3 linked regions of the Lepisosteus oculatus genome follow. The protein of the gene in region 2 interacts with the protein of the main gene of each other region in a pairwise test. Links are inferred from orthologs where the notes say so. Each region holds a gene or a part of one and is shown on either strand. Other genes may lie near its edges. The genes, in order: git1, arhgef7b and sh2d1aa.

What was found.
Region 1: the proteins of arhgef7b (region 2) and git1 interact in binary tests that used the Homo sapiens proteins (3 or more experiments, as listed by UniProt). The link is inferred for Lepisosteus oculatus from reciprocal best matches to the Homo sapiens genes ARHGEF7 and GIT1.
Region 3: the proteins of arhgef7b (region 2) and sh2d1aa interact in binary tests that used the Homo sapiens proteins (3 or more experiments, as listed by UniProt). The link is inferred for Lepisosteus oculatus from reciprocal best matches to the Homo sapiens genes ARHGEF7 and SH2D1A.

Annotation. Positions count from the first base shown.
Region 1 is NC_090721.1:10,575,652-10,582,700, forward strand, and holds the start of git1 (ARF GTPase-activating protein GIT1), read right to left. Parts: upstream 3,021-7,049; 5' UTR 2,159-3,020; coding exon 2,107-2,158; intron 1-2,106. Other genes in the region: ankrd13b (ankyrin repeat domain-containing protein 13B), read left to right, coding at 5,319-5,426. UniProt on the Homo sapiens protein: GTPase-activating protein for ADP ribosylation factor family members, including ARF1.
Region 2 is NC_090710.1:25,691,461-25,699,126, reverse strand, and holds the start of arhgef7b (rho guanine nucleotide exchange factor 7b), read right to left. Parts: upstream 3,097-7,666; 5' UTR 2,827-3,096; coding exon 2,662-2,826; intron 1-2,661. UniProt on the Homo sapiens protein: Acts as a RAC1 guanine nucleotide exchange factor (GEF) and can induce membrane ruffling. Functions in cell migration, attachment and cell spreading. Promotes targeting of RAC1 to focal adhesions. May function as a positive regulator of apoptosis.
Region 3 is NC_090703.1:41,768,975-41,776,844, reverse strand, and holds the start of sh2d1aa (SH2 domain containing 1A duplicate a), read right to left. Parts: upstream 3,043-7,870; 5' UTR 2,877-3,042; coding exon 2,737-2,876; intron 1-2,736.

The sequences.
Region 1 (7,049 bases), on a different chromosome or scaffold from region 2:
CCGCTGGTGAGCAACGTGCACACAAGTGCACAAAAGTATGTTCTTGTGCACTTTGCCACACTCTCACCTGCGTGCACCACGACCTCCAGTGCCAGGACACAATGACCAGCCCCACCTGCAGCTCTGCCGACTCTAGCCCAATTCAGCACATCTATCCTAATTTAATTCCCCCTCGCGTTCACTCAGTTCTTAGGGGAGATGAGCTGCTACGCAGAATATCACAATTTTCCATCACATATCACTGGATCTCTGTCTCCCTCTCTGCCTCTTTTATCTGGAAGTCGAGTTTGAAAAAGCCGAACAAAATCTACTGTGGAACAAAGCGCTTTGAAAGCCCCCCCCAACCCTTACAGAATACAGCATGTGCGAGTGTTCATGCTCTCCGGAAAACCTGTCACCTCTCAAAAAGCTCAACATTTGTCTGGTCGTCGCAAAAACAAATCGACTTTCCAGACCCTCTGACAGACTAGTCGGCTGCCGGGAGACAGACCGGGCTGCGCAGCCAGCTGCTACTGTGGTCCCAGAGCCAAGAGTGACCAGCTCCAGGCCAGGGGGGTGCTTGTGTGTATTGGGGTCCCAGGGCCAAGAGTGACCAGCTCCAGGATGGGGGGTGCTTGTGTGTATTGGGGTCCCAGTACAGAGAGTGACCAGCTCCAGGCTGGGGGGTGCTTGTGTGTATTGGGGTCCCAGTGCCAAGAGTGACCAGCCCCAGGCTGGGGGGTGCTTGTGTATATTGGGGTCCCAGTACAGAGAGTGACCAGCTCCAGGCTGGGGGGTGCTTGTGTGTATTGGGGTCCCAGTGCCAAGAGTGACCAGCTCCAGGCAAACAATGTGCATACTGTGCCCCAGTATTTAGATTCAGCAGTTCTTTCTTTAGCATTTACTCCAAATATGGCTCAAAGTGTGAAGTGTTGCTGCACCTGATACTCGTGTACAGCTCGTACTGCAAAACCTGGAAGGGCCTTGCACAGCGTTTACAGAGAACGAACACATCTCCGCAACCTCTTCCTTTCCAGGAATCAGGATTTAGACTCCCGTCTTGTGCAAACCGGAAACCGGAGGCGGCAGACGTCCAGCCGTGTCTTGTCAAATCTCAGCTTCTCGACTACTTTATAATGTATGGCTGCACTTCAAAGATTCAAACTCCTGCGCTAGGTGTGACCCCCGAAAAACAAGAACAAACTGCTTAGTCACTCAGGGTGACGGCACGTATGGCGCTGGGGCTCGGCAAGAACCTGCCCACACTGTGACCCCAAAACCTACCGAGCGCAGCAGCGCCTGGTCTGGCGTCGCCGGGCTCTGGAGCCTGCAAAGGCATCCGCCGAACTCGGTTCACTCAAACTCCGAGGGTTTAAAAACAACAAAAACTGGTAAATTGCGTTGCAGGCAACGACATGTTCGGAGGCGGCTGGCTTACTACTACAAAACCAGTCGACTTCGGAATAATGTAATGGCCTCTAGGGTATACACAGTGGAAATTGTCTTTATCGACAAAACTGTTTTCACATCGGATTCCAATTAAAACTGCCATTTATTCTTCTGATTGAATAAAAAAAACTGCAGTTAATGAGAAATAATACAATTTCGCCTTTCAGTAATCACGGTATTTAATGTCCCAGTAACGCACACCCATTGAGGTAACAACTACCCAGCTAGACTGGAGAATCTAGCTAGTTACCCAAAACAAAAGGAGACGTTTTATTTGAAAACCCAGATTTTTAACGTACTTTCCCCTGAACAGCTCGCTTCGTATAAACGTGTACAATATTAAAAATATACCAGTAGATACCACACGCAATGTAATGGGATAACGCCTTGTCAGTTGGAAAAAAATAAACATAATACTACAATTAAACACTACGAGTGGCGTATGATTTCGTGTTAATAGGTATATTTTCGACCACAGCAGAATCTTTACTGGGAGAAATGGTCACTGCAAGTGGAAGGGCATCTAGGCCACAGAGCGCGCCGGGCCGCTTTCCTATTTCCCCGATCCCGGGATGCGACCGCCATCTCCGGTCACCCTCTCCCATCCCAGTGCCTCTTCCCTCCCCGAGTTGCCAAACACCAGCTGCTAACAACGCCTTTTAAAAAACAAAATCTTACCCGGCGCGCTGCAGTCGGCGCAGACCTCGCTTCTTTGCACTTTCCTGGACATTGTGTCCAATGGTGTTGAAATGTTGTTATTTTAGTCGCCTTTCCGTTCCCCGGGCTGAAAAAGGCTGGACTGCCGCTTCCCTGCTCCCGAATCGCCCGGAAGCCTCACAGCACGGAACAGGTTCCCCGGCCTCTGCCTGCGTGTGTGCGTTTCTCGCTCCCCAGTGCACAGAAATATCCCCGGTTTTCCTATATGGCGTCGGCGTACTGAGCAAGTGGGTTACAGGGGAAACTGGGATGATTGATTTCATTGAAAGGGAGGCGAGGGCAGTGTTCGTGCGTGGAAAAAGCGCAGCACTTTCCCCGGTTTTCCTGGCTTCCCCCTGCTTGCCGCTCTCCCCTCCTCCTCCGGCACCGTCGCTCTCAGTTCGCTCGTTATCGCAGCCAGGGGCTGCTCATCAGACCACAAAGTACAATGAGATCACTGCAAATATCGTCCACAGCCTCCCCGCTCCCCGGGGGCTCCTAACTGCACGGTGGGGTCCGCACACGGCAGCCCCTGTCCCTCTGTCTGCGCCTTCGCCTGCCTGTCCGTCCGTCCGTCAGTCAGTCTGAGCCGAATTTAGCGCGTCAATGATCGTTTTCCCTCGCTAGCATTGCGGACACGGCTTTGTCTTATTCCGAACACCCCTCTCTCCCCTCACCTATGCATGAATAATTCGACTTTAAGAAATTAAAAAAATAGACCCGTGCTTTCAGTTTTGCTTTCACCATAAGAATCAACGACAATCCAATGATATTTTCTTGCACCTGTTGCTCTTTGCGGTACTGCCGGCGTTGAGGTCGTATTACAGCACGCCTGACCAGTCCCACCTAACAGCCCAGGAGCTCGCCTTTGGACGGTGGGAGGAAACCCACCGCAATGTGCGTGAACATGCGGAGTTGAACCCAGGATCAAGAGCTGCGAGGCACTAGCGCTAACCGCCGAGTCACCAATAAACCGTCAAGCAACTCCCATTAAAAACAGACACCTGCGATTAACTACGTAGGCAGCTACTGTAGTTTCAAATGTAGCCCCGTCTGGGAGGAACCTGCATGTTTCCCTGCGTCTTGACGTAGAGTCGAAAAAGTCGCTGTATTTAATCGTGAAGCGCTGGAAACACAGCGGTGTCCAAGACCTTCGGGAGTATCAAGAGGCGGTGGTAATTCAGCCGTTTATAAACACCAAATACATTAAGAACGGTTACAAACGAGAAGACCATCTAGATAATTGGTTTTCAGTAGCTAATTGATCCAAAGGTCTCATCCAGCTACTTCTTGGAAAAAGCCTGGATATCAGCAGCATATAGCTTCCATCAGAATCCCCCAAGCCTATAAAAATGTCTCCTCTTTTCAGTTTCAAACGCGCTTCCACTTAATTTGGACTTGTGTGCTCCGGTGTTAAAGAGATGATATCGAAGAATTCCTTCAAAGTCGTGCGCACTTTCCCTCGGTCGAAAAGGCTTCTCCGAGGTTTGTCAGGAATACCCCTGAAAGCTGGTTTGTCCTCAAGTGTTTTCTGTTTTCTTCACGGGTTTTGTCCAGATGATCCACGACATTGGACCTCAAGTGAGACTCAGAAGCCCTTAGATTCCGAGACACTCAAAATAAGTGCGGTAACATGCACTTAATGTTGCAGTAGAAGATCAAAGATATTACCCTCTGGGCCGGAAAGCGGTTTTTCAAACACTTAAAAGGACGTCTTTAAGACGTTAGATATCCCATAGCACTGTGATAAACCACAAGCTTGGTTAGCATTTTACTTTGGTCCGGGGAGACCAGACATTTGGACCGGGCAAAAGCGTAAACAGCGCGCTGGAACAAAGATTTCGCCTGTGAGCTCGTCTCGAGGGGCTTTGAAGTCGATCCATGAGGAATTACTGAGTGTCCTGGCCTGGCCCTGGCCTGTCCTTCAAGCAGACTGGCCGCCAGACGGATTAGATCCCCCAGGAGCGGCGTGGAGAGACAGCGCCCCCTCTGGCCCCTCTGGCCTAGAGCCCCTCATGGGGGTACCCGGGGGGTCGTCCTGCCCCACCGGCGACCACATTAACAAAGCAGCTACTTATGAAAAGAGAAATTAAACTGCAGAGACAACTGATTCTTGTGTTTATAACTATGCTCCCTTGACTAGTCTCACCTGCGTCGTTTTGTTCTAGAAAGCGAAGAATGGAAACGGAATGTCCTTCTGATCGGATCCGCGCGTGTGATTGTGACTGGCGGCACCGCCCTAGCGTCCTCAGCCCAGAAAGGCGCTATATACACGCAGGCTGCTGCGACGGCGGAGTCCACGTCCACACCATGTTGCAAGCCCGGCGTCTCGAGCCGCGTGTTCAATTTGACGCGTCAACATTTGGACACGGTCCTCACGACCGACTCGCCCAGGTCTGCTCGGTCAGCCCGAAACAAAACACACACACACACACTCACTCACTCACACACACACACGGGCTGGCGGGCGGTGAGCCCTGCACACTCACTCACACTCACACGCACTCACACTCATTCACACACACACACACACGGGCTGGCGGGCGGTGAGCCCTGCACACTCACTCACACTCACACACTCACACACACACGCGAGCCTGCGGGCGGTGAGCCCTGCACACTCACTCACACTCACACACACACGGGCTGGCGGGCGGCGAGCCCTGCACACTCACTCACACTCACACACTCTCACTCTCACACATTCACACGCACGACGCCGCCACAGCCGCGCGTGTCTGTGAGCCGGGGGGCAGCAGTGCTTCGCCGGGTAACATGTTCAGCTCCAGCCTGTCACTCCAGCGGCCAGCCAGACCGGATGAGCTGCTTACAGCTCGAGTCAATACGCGGAAAATCCTCCCCTCGCCCGCTCATCCTCGCAGAGCGAGCGAGAGACGGAGAGAGAGAGGGAGGGAGGGAGAGAGAGAGGGTACAGACAGGGAGGGGGCGAGGAAGGTGGAATCATCGGAAAATCCAAGAAAGGCGAGTCGGTCACATATGAATGTATTTATTTTTTATTTGTAATCTCTATTCGAAAGCCTTGTATTTCCCGGCCGTTAATTGCTCCCTCTATCTATTCCGCTATATCTGTATCATGCTCCTGTAACCAGCCGCTATTCCGGCTCCGGCGATCCTGAGAATATAATAACCGGGGAAAAAAGAGAGGAGAGAGAATAGCGAACTATGCACAGAGGATGATTTCCACAAGGAGAACTCCGGAGAAAAGTAAATACCCCCTGCACACCTTGGTGTGGTACAACAGGCATCGCCAGCTGGAGAAGGAGCTGACCGCGGAGGAGCAGGTAAGGCGCAGCTCGGCGCCCCAGTCCGCGGGGCTGGGGCGGTGTAGCCGGGGGGCCGCCCAGGCTGTGGGGAAGACAGCGCGAAAAGCGGTGGCGAACGATTTCGGGATCGAGGGAGTCTGGTCTGATAGAGCGGCATCGTCTGGCGTTTCGTCGAGAGGGGCGGCACGGCAGCAGACACGATGTCGCTTGCCGGCTGGGGTCTCCTGTCACTATCGCCGCACGCAGCCGCGATGCCGCCGGTGCAGAAATGCAACTGAGCGTCGCCAAGGCTGTCCGAGCGGGGCTCGGGGCTCGGAGGCGGGGGACCGGCAGACCGGTAACGGCTTCGAATTGCATCGGGAGCCTCCGCGCTCGCAACCCCGAAAAACACAACGGGCTGCCATCGCCCGTCCGCTGCCTGCCTTCTCCGCGGCGCGGGTCCGAGAGAAGTTGGCGACGGTCCTGCGGGTTTCAGCGGGTTGAGCGCGCGTGGTGAAGCGGGGGCCGCGGCAGCTCGCGAGCCGCGCGAGGCAGTGCGGTGCAGCCCGGCAGGTGGGCGAGGGGCAGCGCGTGGACGGGCGAGCCGGCACCTCGCGGCACGAGCCGTGTGGCAGGCTGGGGCTGTGGCAGGTGGATTTAGTCATTTCATCTGGGTAGTGAGAGTGTGCCTGCTTCTGTGCACGGAGTGAAGTCTCATTATATATATTGCAGTACAGCTCACTGGAAGAAACGTGCGCCTCATTTATTTAACTAAATGTAATGTAGTACTTAGCATAACACCAAAAAACACAACCGAAGCCTGACATCTCGGCGTTGGGGATAATGCACAGACTGCGGGCCTAATGGATAAGACACCGGGCTGGAATGACAGACAGGCTTTGTAACGCGACCAGGAAAGGCACTGAGAATCTTCCCTCGTCTCTGGTTCTGAAACGACTTACATAAGAGATTCTCTGCATGGTGCAGGCTATAGACTGGGCGCAGGACGGATGACTACACACAGCGCTTTCCAAATGCGCGAGAGGAGCGATAGAGCAGTTTCAGCGCCTGATCAGCGCCGACAGCGTTTTTAGATGCAGGAAGTCGCCCAGCCTTTTTGCCAGACACAGACGGATGAGCTAAGTCGAGGCGATGGCATGGTAGGGGGTAGGGGTGTGTGTATTTTCTGACGCGTGGCCTGGGGTCGGGGTGACGATTGTGGGGGAGAGCCGAAGACCCGCTCCTGGTCCTGGGGTCCGAGCTGTATCTCCTCGTCACGATCGCTCGCAGGGTGATGGCGCAGGGGAAGATGATTGTGTTTCCCAGTGGGAACATCACAGATCACGTCCTGTAGGTACCCCTTGTCGGCATCATCCAGGTGGATGCTGCACATTAGTGGTGGAGGGGATCCCCATTACCTGTAAAGCGCTTTGAGTGGAGTGTCCAGAAAAGCGCTATATAAGTGTAAGCAATTATTATTATTATTATTATTATTATTATTATTATTATTATTATCCTTGACTTCCTGACTTTCCTGTCTTCCTCTGGATCTTCTTCTTTGCCGGACTGGACAGCAGGCCGGGGGCAGTGGTGGTGCAGTCAGAGAGCAGGGCTGTGGGCAGGGAGGAGGGGAGGGGGAGACCTGTCTGGACAGCACCGTGT
Region 2 (7,666 bases):
ATTACAAGAAAACGTTTTTCGTTCTTACGCAATATTTGTATACATGTAGATCAAGTTTCGAGCTTGCCTTTGTCTGAAATCCATCCATCTACTTTGTTGTTGTTGGTTTTTCTAAATTCCATTAAATGCTTCCTTAATCTGAAACATTATACATATAAAAGTAATAGAATTGTGAGAAATGAACGGAGTTTTGGGGAAAAAATACTTGCAGTGTCCCCCCAAAACACAAGGACAGCATAGTCAAGGCTATTGCTTTTGCTTTACAGTCAAGCAATTTGTATTTAAGAACAGGAAATTAATATGAGAGATGCATACAATGTAATACACTATACATTTTATTTTTAGATCATGTCATACGCACACGTGGTCATATTAGTGCGAAAAACATACTTTTTGTTGAACCCGGTGATTTCAAAGGACCAAAGGTATTGGGACACTTTCACTTTAAGTACATTTCAGAGTGTAAAAGTCAGTACATATTATCACCATTTCCCCTTGAGGCAATGACCACATTAGGCCTGCAACCCACTGAGATCACCCAGGTATCTGCGTGATCATCTGAGGGGCTTCATTAAGCCTTTGCTTCAGTAACTCAGGTTTCTTGATTTTTCCTGAGGTGTTGGGACTTTTTTTGTTCTGAACTTTTTCGTCATCATGCAAAATGCTGGTCAGCTGGAAACATGGCTTGACCATATTGGTTTGGTCAGTCTAGGACTTTTCTTTTTCTCCCAATGATAAAAGTTGTTGCATGGGCTGTATGTTTTAGGTTGTGGTCACGCTGCATGGTAAAGTGCTGCCCAACAACTACGTAAGTATCCTCTTCTGCATCCATCGCGGAGGAGCCAGGGCCTATCCCAGCAAGCAGTGGGCACAGGGCATGACCTTCCTCTACATATTCAGCGGAAATATTTCAGAATTCATTCTGCCGCTGCCATCAGTGCCTTCAAAGACCAATGAGCCAGATGTGAAGCCAGAATGTTTCACCATGTTTCCAAATTTGCTCAGAAGTACAAAACTCAGGCAGAAGATTTGGGGAACATAACTTCCAGAAAAAATCAGACCGAACCAAAACTTCACCTAAGTTTAAGTGTGGCGAAAAAATAGAAACTGCAGATGCTCCGGAAGTCATCATCTCATCTGTGAAGCCACATCAATCCCACAATCACAAATACAAATAGCCTGATTCTAAACCAAAAATAATAGTTATCACCTTGCTGTCACAATTGGGGGGCATCTGCTGTTACAGATGGATGCTGGACTGCATTGAGTTTCTCTGCTTTATATTGTTGTCGTCTTTGTGGATCTCCTACTTCTAATACACAAGGATTCTTCAATAATAAAAGTTAATATCTGGATACATGGATGATGATGTACTTTTGTGATATTAAAATTGATTTGATTTATATGTTTAAAGGATTTTAATTGTTCAAAAAAGACAGGCATTATTTACCGTAGGCTAGTTTTAACCTGAGGTATGCCCTCAAAATGACCAAAGCAAGAAGCCTGTACTAATGGCATTAATTATTGTAAATTTTCATTCCGCATTTGTGTGCTGTACACTAGGATCTTACGTCCTCTTGTTTTTAGCAGCAAATGCAAATTTAAATCTCACCTTTTTTCATGATGTAGGCTTTAGCCTTTTTTTCAAACAATTTTGTTTCATTGTTCATTAGGTTTGTTTAATGCAATGTTCATGCAATAAAATTAGTCATTTCACCTGTCGTGATTGAAGATAAAATCACCAAACTGCATTCCAGAGATTATTCAGGTACATTTCTCGTTAAGACCCAGTACATGATATTGAGGAAATTAAAGAAAGACCAATACTGAAAGAACACGACGGGAGTTCCATTTAGCTCCAAGAAGGAACCTAATAATCTGTTGGAAACGATAGCCTACATCAAAGCAATTTGTTTGTAGACTGTAGTACAGGCTACTGTAAAAACGTAACAGTAAGCTCAATTGTTCAGCACTATAAACAAGTCTGACACATGCGGTCTGACCTTCTGGTAGACAGCCGTACCCTCAAAAATGGAACTGTTCCTTTAACATTTCCGAGGGTCGTCACATACTGTGTGCGCTTTTCCAGTCAATGGCGGCCTGCTCATGTGGGATCGTATCCCCTCCACACGTAAAAAAAAATCAATAGTCGATTTTGATTTGGCGCAATTCTGTCCTCTGTCAGCGCATCACCTCCAAGTAAATAAAGCAACATAAAAAGGGGATTCCATTCTTTTAAAATCGTGTTTAAAACACATTCCCTATGTTCTTGTCTAGTGCAATTTCATAAATAAAAAAAATGTTGAAAGGGTATATTTCCCAGTGTTAGAACCAGCATCGGTTCTTAAGAGGGTTACCTCACATTCAATGATTTATGGATATTGTAGATATAGTTTGTACCTATGATATATAATAGCACCTATTGTTAGCGTCTAATACGGTAATCCCTCTCGCGTTGCGTTATTGACATCTGTGCTATATCAGTTAGCCTGCAGTAGGAGCACAATAACTACCAGACACATGACCTAAAAAGAAACATTGACCGAGACGGGGCATTAAAGGGGGATATTTTGTATTCTCCGGACGCCATCGATAGGGTTTACGCGACAAAAACACAGCGCACTGTAGCTGGGAGCGGGTAAGAATGGTAAATGTCCTTACTTTATCGATAGAACCAGGGCGCAATCGGTCCAGCAGTCTGCACAGGACCACACCATCTTTCAGAGACGATTGCAAAAATCCTTCTGGATCCGAGATGGTCTTTTTCGGCGATTCCAGGACCCCCAGAGTAATAAGCCATGTAACGGTTTGCTCTGCTGAATTCATGGCAGCATTCACGATGCAAATCCAATTGGGAGGAGGTGGGGGTGGGGGGGGGGGGGGGAGACGGGGGGCAAATTAGTTATGTGGGTAGATGTATCAATATATATTCCAATTAAAACATTTCCTCTCTACATTGGTGTGAGGTCCGGGGCAGAGACTACGGCTGATCCCTCCTTCTCCATGTAGATGCAGATGATGACGATTTGCTTTTGAAAATCCAGCAGGTCGGTTTTTGCTTTCCTCTGGGGTTGTTTTGGCCAGCTGTCAAATGCCTTTCTCTATTATACACACAACCTGCATTGCCTCCCACAAGTGATCTTCCGGCAGATGACATCATGGACACGGAAAAGCGACATGGCCACTTACAATGGTAATCAGAGAGGTATATTTGCATGGCACAGGAATACTTTTGCATGGTTTTACATGTGTGGCCTTTGAAATAGGATGGCAGCATCTGGATATGCAAAACCTCTAGCATTTTGCTTTTGTGAAAGGAAAGGCACTGTTTTGTGTGGGGGTAAACCTGAACTGGGAATAGTTCTCACCCCTGTGTTGCCTGTAGTGTATTTTATTGATTTAGTATTTGTGTTATAATTTGACAATCTCGAACCTCGAAAAACACATCACTGATATTTACAAAAAATGATAGTGGGCGTTCAAAATATTTTTCTAATTAAAGGGTAATTCAAATTATTTACGCATCTCCCAAAAAAGCTTCAGATATAGCACCTTAATGCTTTTGGATACGAAAGTCCGCCGCCTTGTGGAGACTCCTAGTATGCTTTTTCGCTTAAAACGACCTGTTTTGTCCTATTTTGTTCCACGGTTTGACTTCAATGCTTTCCTAACAGAACTTGTGAATGAGCCAGACTACATGCTTTATAAACTGTCGGTTAAATACATACATTTCTCATAATCGATTTAATACATTAAAGTGAGATTTATGTGAAAATGTTTTCCTATACTCACTCAGGAGGCGGGTATGTACAAATGAATCGTCAATAAATGTTTTATTCACACAATGGCAGTTTAAGCTGTTTTATGTATTGTGAATATTTTTGTGCATTCTATGTTGTTGTTTCGCTTTTGCAGAATGCTAGATAATATTTTTTAAATAAAAGTTTGAATAAGTAACAATGAAAATGCAGTTACATTTATGTAAGGACCAACACTGGAACATACCAGCACCTTATTAGCTAGATGTGATTTTTCTTTTCGAAATTCGTTGATTTCGATTTAATTATACTGCAAAAGCAATGCTTACAAAGCGATAAAGAACTCTTATACAACAAATGGTAATCATCGTTTATTTGTTACGATCAATAAATTGACAAACACAAACTATAAGCAAAGGATACTTTAAGATATTAGACACTTGAAAATATGAATTATTTAATATTATACTAATATTCTTAATCTATAAAATGTTAGAGTTTTCGACAAAACTATACGCCGTGTAATTATTTCTGTTTCCACACGAGGGAGACCTTGCAGCGAAAATCGTTTTACAAAATTATTTTCCGTTAAGGGATTGTTTTTTTATTCTAGATCTATTTGGCTTTAATTTGGGAATTCATAGTGTTGTGTAACAACATGTATCATATCTGTTTTATATATAAGAATGATTAAAATATCATTTGTGTCTTTCTAAAATATTTTAACATCTACTATTCCTTCCTATTGCTACTACAAATATTACTACTACCGCTGAGAATAACAAACACAACAACGTTTCTGGTGATGATGACAAATTTCATGTTGGGATCTTAAATTAAAAACATGGAACAACGGGGTTAAACTTGTAATTTTCAAATGGGTCTTTTTGGATAAGCCTACCGCTAACAAAATTCCTTTCTTCATAACATAATGATTAGTTCACCTTGCAGTTTTTCTTATCCTTACGGACAGAGACATGCGATCTGTTGGTGAAATAATCACAAGACAGAAAAAAGACACATCACCATGAAGCCCAGAAGACAATTACATGTCAGGACATGACACTTGTGCTTTAGAAAAGAGGCTGAGAGGTTTAAGAACTGTAGAGACTATAAGACTACATCCTAAAGAAAGGTAGTGAAATTCAGCTTTTCTTTAATCTAAAATAAAAGCACAGCCAATTAAATCTGGTGCTTCTATCACACACCACCCTACAGGCATAAACGACTAGTTATTGTCATTACAATAAAATAGGGTAAATAGGCCCTAGTGTGGTTTTTCGTGTTTGTGTCACTGTGTGCCCTGTAACGGATATGTGTCCTGTCCAGGGCATATCCTGTGTTGTACCTGTTGGTTGCCAAGGTAGGCTCTGACACCCGAATTAAATGAAGAGAAGAATATGGATCAAATCCAAAACTTTATTTAAAACGATATTCTTGGAAGGAAGTAGATTAATGGAAGGTTACAGTGACTTAATAATATTTACCTCAACTGTATAAACTTTATGTGTATTTGCATTTCAGCACCTTGTATGATGAAGTCTGTGACATTTTAGCACAGCTGCTGCCAGCTTCCTGGCAATCAGGAAAATACTTGTGTATCACCTTCTTATCTGATGATAATTCAATTCAATTCAAAATACTTTATTCATCCCCGGGAGGGCAATTTAAGAAAACAACTTAATAGTAATCACATTTATTCTAAAGGATCTCCAAGCATGTTACATGTTGCAAGGAACTCATTTCATCCTGCAGTGACACTGACAAGGCTATGAATTTAACATTAAAATGATGAATTCTAAAAGCATACATTTAAAAAAACAAAAATCACCTGAGTTTGTTTCATATGATTTTCATCTCTCCCACCACTTACCTCCCATTTCAGACTTGTTTTTGTCTCCTTCCTTGTCTTATTGTTATAATCATATTATTGGCAATAAATACACAAACTAAACTTTTTTAATTAAAATCATTAGTCATAACACAGTCGGCTATGATTGAAGAAATGTTTGTGACAACCATAAGTCAGTAATCAGCTTCTTGTACTGCTTTTAAAATGATGTATTTTTTTTTATTTGGCTTGTTTTTCTTTCTCAGCTTTCATCCGAAATTCTTTCTAAACTGTGCTTATTTACTTCAGTCATTTTTCATTGTGGATTCATTATTTTTATTCTGCGTCCCATGGGGAACTCTTCCAGCAATCAGCACACCTGAAATATTTATGTGGTTTTGAAGTTATCGGCACTATATGCTTAAACCCTTCACTGTACATATGCTAACACAAACAGTAACACAGCAATATTACTGAGCAATACACTGCAAGAACAAAACATTGCCTGATTTCCTTTAAGGGAAATTTGTCAAGGAAAAACATGTGTTGATGATAAATGGATAACACAATGCTAACACCCATCTGCAACCTGGCATGAGTGCTTTGTTTTAAAGCCAAATTTACACAAACATCTTCTCTCTGGGTTCTGTTTCATTGTGCTGGAACAACAGTCATGTTTCAAATACATGCGGGCTGAGTCCAGGGTGCTTCATAGTAAAATTGAATGTACTGCATTACATATGTGTGGAAAAACTCACACTTGCCATACTTTGTATGTGATAAAATGTGTTTTACCATCGGAAAAATGTGAAGACAAGTTGTTTTTCACCATTCTCCTGCCTGCCAATCAGACATCAGCAGCTTTTCTAAACCAGCATCCCAGACTTAATCATAGAAGGTTCTGAAATTGTTAGCTGTAACTTTGGTTTTGAACGTGAAACTTCAAAATAAATTTGATTATTCCAAATGTGTTCTTACATCGCATTGTTTGGGAATGTGTGTAATTTACTGTCCAATGCAGGATGTGTGAAACTGATTTATGTAGTGTTAAACACTGTTTATTAAAACAATTTCTGTTTTTCCTCTATTTTCATCTGAGTGTCACTAGGTAATGGGGTACAGCCTTGGTGTTTTATTATATTCTGTATACATTAGAAATTAAGAAACTTTTTTTGTTTGCTTTCTGAAGAATTGGATGGTGGCGACTTTGAACACAAAGACCAAACAATTCTTCGTGTCAACATCAGGGGTAGCTGTGGAGTCCATCGGTCAAATTTAAAACTGGGAGTTTTAAAACTGAAATAAAAAAATCAGTTTTCTGCAATCTTTTCATTTTCTTTTTTTTTTACTGTACTCTAAAAATAAGCTTGAACACTATTTTTGAAAATGTGTTTGTTTTGTAATGATTCACAATTAGCTGAATTGATTACCTTAACATTAAGCAAAGCTTTAACGTTACAAAGGAGGGACTGACATAATTTAGAAACACACCAAAGTTTGTGAATATATTCTTTCTGGATATATCTTCAACACTGCCGGTAATGAGAGAAGCAAAACAAAGCACGTTTTCTGGAGAGACTTCTTTCAATCATATTTTAAATAAGCCCTTATATCATTCTTTCTGTCCTACAAATACTTTGCAATGGCTTAGCTTTTCCTGGGATAACCCATGCACTATGGAAAAACAGTTTAATTAATTGCATTTTTGCATAGTTAAAACGTTAGAAATCATACAAACTGAAGGAGGCAACGTGGCCCGTCAAGATAATTTGGCTGCTTTAACTAGCAGTCAAGGTATGAGCTAAGAAAACGTTTAATACTTAAAATATTTGCGATAGTACCAAAATTTTTCATATTATTTTTTAGAATATTTTCATTTTTAACAGATAAATTCTGTTATAGAGAAGAGTGGGATTTGGGGGGGGGATGTGTACATTTGTGATGAGCTAAGAACTGCTGTCGGTAATTGTTTTATACAGGAAAAGTTAAGTTGCTAAATTTATGTTTGTTCTAAAAATGCTTAATGATATTAAGATCATTAGCATTTTTTCCGTCCTGTTAATCTTGCAGGAAGTAA
Region 3 (7,870 bases), on a different chromosome or scaffold from region 2:
CTCAGCATGCAGCAAATTCAATTACAAGACTGTTCTATGAGAAAATGTCATATGGTTTGGCTGCCCAAAGTGGAACATTTTATCTCATCGCCTTGTCCTGCTACCTTCTCCTTTGTATTCTATTCTGGCATTCATGTCTCTCACTTTCTGGTGCTATAATTTCTTATGAGTGGGAGTATTTTTCTAACATGTTTTTGAGCTTCTTGATTAAAATACCTACTTAAAATATGTGAGTTTACTAGTAACAGACACAATTCCTGTCTGTACAAGGAATGTCTGTACATTATTTATTTTTTCTCCACATAAACGCACAAAGATTTTTAGATTAAATTATTGGTACTCTGTTTTAAATTAGTTTACTATAGCACCTCAACCTCTACTTGATACCATAAATAAGTCGTTCAAAACTAGTTTAACAAGGAATATTTCCTATATACAGTATAATTAATGAGTCACTGAATAATCTTATTTCTGACATGGGTATAATACTTCAATTTGCAGCTACCTACATTGTATATTAACTGCAAAAACTAGTTTTATGTCACACATTAGTACTTCTATTTGTTTTCATTCAACTGTTTACAAAAACATCCTGAACTCGTTTTATCCCACGGAAAAAAAATGTAACCTGTCATAAAGACTCTTCCTATAGATGTCTGAGGTTGAAGCAGAAACATCTACAACCATTATTTAGCAGTACTAAAATCCATATAGTACTGCTTACACAATTTCACATAATGCAACATACCGTCATCACATTACTTATAGATCTTTTTATTAACAATTTAATTTATGCAATGCACAAATCTTTGGTATGACCAACGACCTGAGAAAAAGCCTGATACTCCATATATTCACTGAACTCAACAGTGAACTCAATTTAGCAAGACACATTTCGATCCAACATTACTTTTTATGTTGATTGCCCATCACACAGCACCTTCTGTTCTCAAGCTTCATTGTTTCTGTGTAAACGCAATATATCAGCAACCCACTAATTTGTTTTTTTAATGTGGGTTCTGCAAAAATGATGTAATGCACACAACAATGGGAATACTATAAAATTAACTGAAATAAAGCGAGACTCCAGATTTAAGTTTTGCAGCAATGAGGTGGGCCTACAGAAACTAAAAGCTTAGTGTCCTACATAAAGAAAAGCAGCAAACAGTGGGTTAAATTTAAGAAATGATGTCAATGACAACTAAACTCTCCTTTTCAATGGCTCTTTTAAGAGCTATTCATTTACTAAACATTACAATACTTATCCAGTGACAAGCCCAGAGACCGAATGGCGGCTCCCACTTGGTTTGAACTAGTAATAGTCCAGGATACATTTTCGCTTCCAAATGTTTGTAAATATACAAATAACTACTCTTCTGTGTGCCATTTGTACTGTGCATTTTCATTACGCAGTATCTAAAACATGCTGAGGGCTTCAAATACGGCAGACAGAAAATCTTTTGGCTACTTTTGGTTTTCCGGCTAACAAAACTGCTAATCCTGTTGGCCGGAATGCATGAGGTGAACAATGTACTGTAAGATCAGGAATATTCACTTTTATCCTTAACTTGTACGTTTACATTTTTGGGGTCATAATAATTAATGTACTATATTGCACAATAATACCAAATCATACAATTTTTGTCAAGATTACAATCAGTAATCAGTTTTTACTTGAGAGTGATGGGGTTATCAATCAGCTCTGTTTCATTATCCTGCAATCTTTCTCTCTCAAATACCCAAATAAAGCTTCACAGCCAAACTTTTTTTTTTGCTTTCTACTTTTTTAGCATTTAGAGTTAGACTGTAGTTGCTGCTCTACAACAATACCAATATATTAAAGTAAAGAAAATGTCCTAGATTATAAAGTGGATTTATAGACCTTGACTTGCCAGCATGGACTTGCGAAATGTGTAAAAGTGTGTTTATAATGATGTAGTGAAGAGTACATTCGATAATGTGCAATTATATGCTGAGATACTTATTAACATCAGGTTAACATTTACAATTATCTTAATTCTGTAATTGTGGTAACACAGGCATTAAATAGCAAACGAAGCAAACGAAGAGAGCAAAGACATATTCCAATAACACTAGATGGTGAATATATTTGTAATTATTTAATAAATCAAATATTTGAAAAATTCACAACCATTATTGAAACTCAAACTCTTTCCAGCACAACATGATCAGATTAGGTGTCAGTTGTATTGCATTCAATTTGGACTACACTTTAACTTTATAATGTAGTTTCACTAGTGAAGATCCAAGCCCATTGAATGAAGACATTGTGCTCAACATGAAAAAAAACGTTAATAAGAGGCAGTCTTATTAGTATGTAACAATAAATTAATCTCTTTAATTTCTTTAAATTAGTGAAGACATACATTACCTTAAATGAGCCAAATCCTAGTTTTTAAAGTGAATAATAACTGTACAGAAGACATACGTCTCTAGCTAAAATGTATACATACAATAAAAATACATGCACTAATTAGCTTTTTACAGTAACTGTTTTGAACATAAGTGAACATCAATAAGCAGTGCTGCTGTTGCCAAAAATATAATTTGTACATCAAATCAACAAAGTTTCAATCATGTTCTGAGAAAGTTTTTTTTAGAGAACCATTTTTCTCCATCACTGCTGAATTTGTGATGACTGAAGTCTGGCACTGATACTGTAATTTGCACTGAAATTGAAAATGTATTTTCCAATGCATCTGTCTCAATACTTACAGCACACAGAGGCAATATACACCAGGCACGCTCTCGCTGTCTCGTATTAAATAACTGCCATCTTTCCCAGCAGCACTCAGAAGTTTTTCACCTGTTTCCCGGCTGATGCCTCCATGATAAACAGACAAAGAATCCATCATGCTGCTAAAACCAAGGTGATGCAAGTTGCAAGTATTGTCAGAGAAGTGTTCAAATAACTGGGGTGTGCAGGAAATGAGATAATAACGAATAGAAAGAAAGAAACACAGGAAATAACATCACAAGTGGTTCAGTCTCTCCATCTCCAACATCAAAATGAAATTAGTTGGTTCTGTTTCTTGTTGTAAATTGGCCAGTCAGCAGGTTTATTCAGCTTCTGTTAAATTATTTATAATAAAAAAGGTTCCTCTTCCAGAGTCAAGAAACTATACTCATAAAACTTGTTGCTAGCACACAAGGGACAGCTTGAATTGTTGTGTTGTGGCCCATAAGCTCCTCATTCTGTAGGTACATATTACATGAGCACCAGATAAAATGTGGGTTTCCATATTATGGTTTTGTGCGGAAGTACATTTTAAACCAAGAAAATGTGGGTCTCCCTTACATGTTGGCTTGTGGGTGTATTGAATGAGCTGCCAGCTACGATGTTATAGTTAATATCCAGGGTTCTTTCAAGAAAAAAGCTGGGCAAGATCCTTGGATCTTTTAGCTGTTTTTTACGTGACCTGAGGTAGCAGAAAATCTACAGATACAAATCTTTTCATTTACTGTATTCATAAATGAAACTGATATGAACTTCAAACACTGAAGCCCTGTAAGAAAGCTCAGGGCTGGAAGACGGCCGAGAGAGAGCAATCCAATACCAGCTATGAGCAAGTTACAAACTAGTCTAAATCACTGAGACTGCTGCCTGTCAGTCATGGGAAGATGCATAGAATTTAGAAGGGGAAAGTCTAACTGGGATAATGTGGTATATGAAACTGTTAAAGTAATGTAACCTCACTGGAACTTTAAAAGCATTCCAAACCCACTGGGTCACATCACTGGTCTTTTGGCTGAACAGATCTGACACTTGTAAGGCACCGAGGTCAGAGAAGCACTGAAGAAGCGGATCGAATCTCATTTCTGACCACAGCTGCCAAACTTCTCTTAGCCTGAATCACTTAATACTTTGCCTATTAATATCCCGTATAACATGGTAGGTGAGTAACTATACACCAATCTAATTTCATCACTTACATTTGTTGCTAAAGTTGCAATTTCACAACCTACTTGTGAATTCTGAACTTCAAACATGAAAAGCCTGGATGTAATATTCACAGGGAATTTCATCCTAATAAAAATAAAGGAATTAAACAGCATTAAACCATACCACACAAGAAAAAATAGTATTTTATTAACAAAATGTCTGTTTATTCTCAGTACAATGCTTCAGACAGCAACACCCTAATGCTGTATAGATAAACATGTCAGAACATGTCTAGAAAACCTGAAACTTTTCGGGTGAGGATACAACTTTCTTAGGATAAAGACGTGCTAATTTAGAGTTGCTGTAGAGAATGGTGTACACTCCCAAAGATGTAATATCAATGTAAATGGACTTACGTAAACTTTTGGAAAGATCTGTACACATGGTTTAAGTGTCTAACACTTCAATGGCTGAAAACAACTTGAACCCATTTTCAAAGCCTTCATTTTTCACGCTTTGTATCTTGTATGTGGGTTAAGTGATAAACGGTCTTGATCCTGAAGAAGCAGCACCTCTTTCATTATTGCTAATCAGACAGCACATTTTCAAATCCAATGTCTAAAATGTTTAAAGCATCAGAGGGACATTGTTTTTTTAATGTACACCTATACTTAATATTAAATATTTATAACCTCTTTAAAATACTTAATGTTCAAGTAGTAAAAAAAAAGAGCTACTTCCACCACTATACACTTAAATGTGTAGCTGACTAAGTTAAGGTCACATGAGTCAAATTAAAAACAATTTTTTACAGTTATCACATTAACTGCATTTTCACCAGGTTTGCATTAAATGTTCCGCTTGAAAGCATTTTTCTGCAAATCAGACCATCTAATGTAAAACTGATAACTATCAGTTACCACAAATGTTTCAGTTCTTTCATGTTATGTGCAAGGATTTTAATTTCCTGAGAATATTCCGGCAAACCACCTGGTTTTCGTTAATTCTACTTTTGTTATGAAACAGGTGAGCAGATAGTATCTGTACTTTTCCAATTTATGCCTCTTTTGAAACAATAGAAGCTTTGTCAATCATGACGCAGCTTAACTGAATGTGGTTGCACGTTCTTTTAATACAGTCTCTCCCATAAGTGCAAAATCAACCTTAAATCAAAGATAACATCTTTAAGGTAACTGCAACGTGAGGTAGCAGTGTGCATCCTTCCATTACACTGCCTGGCCTATGTAGCAGGAGGGATTCTCAGAACCTTGTATGACGATCATACAATATGTCATAATACAGACACGTCGACAATATACTGAGAAAAGCAACAGATAAGAATTTTGCAACTGTGATGTAAAACTATCAAAATTTAAAACAATTAAAAAAACAGACATGAAATGTATCCATTGGCAAAACCTTTACATTGAACAAGTGGAACTATAGCCAACACAGACTACTTCAGAATCTTGAAGATATCAACACCCTCCTCAACCCCCCTTCAGTAGTAGTTCCCTCCAGGTCTCCGTCTAAAAGCACCTAAAACAGCTACAATAAAACCTTCATGCAACAAGGCTTTCAGCTTTACGAATCTAAGCCTTAACGTATTCGTAGACTTAGCAATTGAAAGGTCTATATAAACAACATCACAATGGGATAGAATCCAGCGATGCCAGTAGAAGGAATGAAGAGACTCCCAAAAGCATTGGCAGCAACAGCACAGTCATGCCAAACAGCCATATCTGTTTCTGCCGCTGTGAGAGATCCAAATTAGTTATCTAGCAAGAGTACCAAGTGCAAAGTGAGAATCTCTCGATTTAGAAGAGTAGAAAAAACATGAAGTAGGGTTCTAGAATTTTACCCCTGGGCACACCAAAAGCATGTAAAGAAGTGGTTAAAGAACCGACCAGTGTGTAGAAGGAACTACAGGAACACATTACAGAGGAATACAGGGAACTAGGAACTAGTTTCAATGACACCATCTACAAATGATCTTGACACTTGAAACAACATAAGCAGCGGCCATTCAGCCCAACTCGCATCTCTAGGTAGGATGCAAGATAAATTTGCAATATCCCAACTATTGTCCTAAGAAATGGCCTCTTTGGTGACATTCGATTCTTTATTCCAAGAAGTAATCACTGCTGAAGATTTAGATGAAGCCTGTGATAAAAAGACATAACTGTCCATCCTTTTCTGTGTTCCCTCAACGTTGAAGAGATTATGCACTGCTTGTAAATGTAACTTTGTCTATTGGGCAAGTACTATAGAATGGCGAAGTACAGGAAGAAAAAAATCTATCCTGGAACACGCCAAGACCATCGTTAATATAAATCAGAAAGTGAAATCCTTTCTCACTTCAATGTATAAAAGATTAGAGAGAAACAAGTTTAAATATAGTGAGTATGGGCCTTCCATTTATCAAACTGGTTCACTTTCATGCTACATTTTAAAATGTGTACGCAAAACTCTTAAAGATGACTTCTCAATATTCCAGTCATTCTAATTGTATTTAGTACATTTTTCGATCGAGAATGCCATGCATTAGAAAGAAACCCCAATAACAGGAATGCCCCACTTGCCGTCTTTACTGAAACTGAGAAAAAAAACTCAACTGTAACCCACTTCTAAAAGAAAAGAGGGAGTCCTCAACAATTTAACCATGACAACAGCGGTTAACGATTTTGAAGAACAGACTTAAACAACTAGACTTGTTCATGTTTTGACTTTCACAGTAGCTGCAAAGTGGTCTTTCAATTTGCAATACGCAGTTACTTATCGTTACCTTTGTTCAAAAGTGAGTGCACACTAAATTAAAATATTAAAGATATGAAACGAACAAAATGAAGATTTGTGTAAACAGCAGAAAATTAAAGTGCTTGATAAATTCTCGCCCACCCCACCCCCCTTCATAGCTTAAAACAATCTTTCATTAAACTGCTTGCCTTATGTATAGCAGCTTCTATAAAGCACGGGAGATTCTTAGAACATTACCTTGTGCAATGTTCATACAATCTATCGTACTACAGGTACACAAGAAGAAATCTATTCAGAAAAGCAACAGGAATTTTGCAACTTAAAAGATGTAAAACTATCCCAATTTAAAATAATTAACAAAAAACAGCTATGAAATTGATCACTCAAAAACCTTTACAGCAGTTTTAACAAACAGAACTGTAGCCAATGGACTACTTTGCAAGTTAGAAGTTATGATTCTACCTAATGACACCTAAAATGGTTCAAATACTCCAATAAAAACTTCACGCAACAAGGTTTCAGCTTTTGCATCAGCTTTACGACTCCAAGCCTTATTTTAGTTTTCGACAATGAAAGTGGTCTTTTAACTTGCAACAATGATGTAAAGTGGCTTGTTGTACCTTTATTCAAAAGTGAGTGCTAAGCAACTTAAAATGTTCATGATTTAAAACTGATGATTTTCGTAAACGGAAATTTAAGTGTTCGATAAATCCTCTGCCACTCCACCCCCTTCATAGTTAAAAAAAATCTCTCCCACAGAACTGAATAGACCTGATGCAAGCTTTATTTTTGGATTAATACAGAAAAAAAGGTAAAAGCTAATTATCTCTTCAAATGGACAATGTAGTCAGACAAGAAAGCAATTAACATGTCAAGGTGTTATTTTGTCTGAAGCAAAATCAAATGTCAAAAGGGGCCAATAGTAAGAAAGCAAGCAAATGTTTTTAAATATGGATTTTAGACTTACCAACTGCAGGGAGGAATTTGCTATTGTTGTTGTTCCCTTCTTAAAACACAATTACCACAAATATGCCTTGGTTTAACTTGGAAATTATTTTATGCATGTGGTCAAAACGTGGTGTACAGAAAATGTGAAGACTTTACAAAGAATTAAATATCAATTTTAGAATTACAAGTTTAAATTATATGGCACTCTCATTTTAAATATATTCTACATTCAAGACAAATATAAACTTAATATTTAACTTA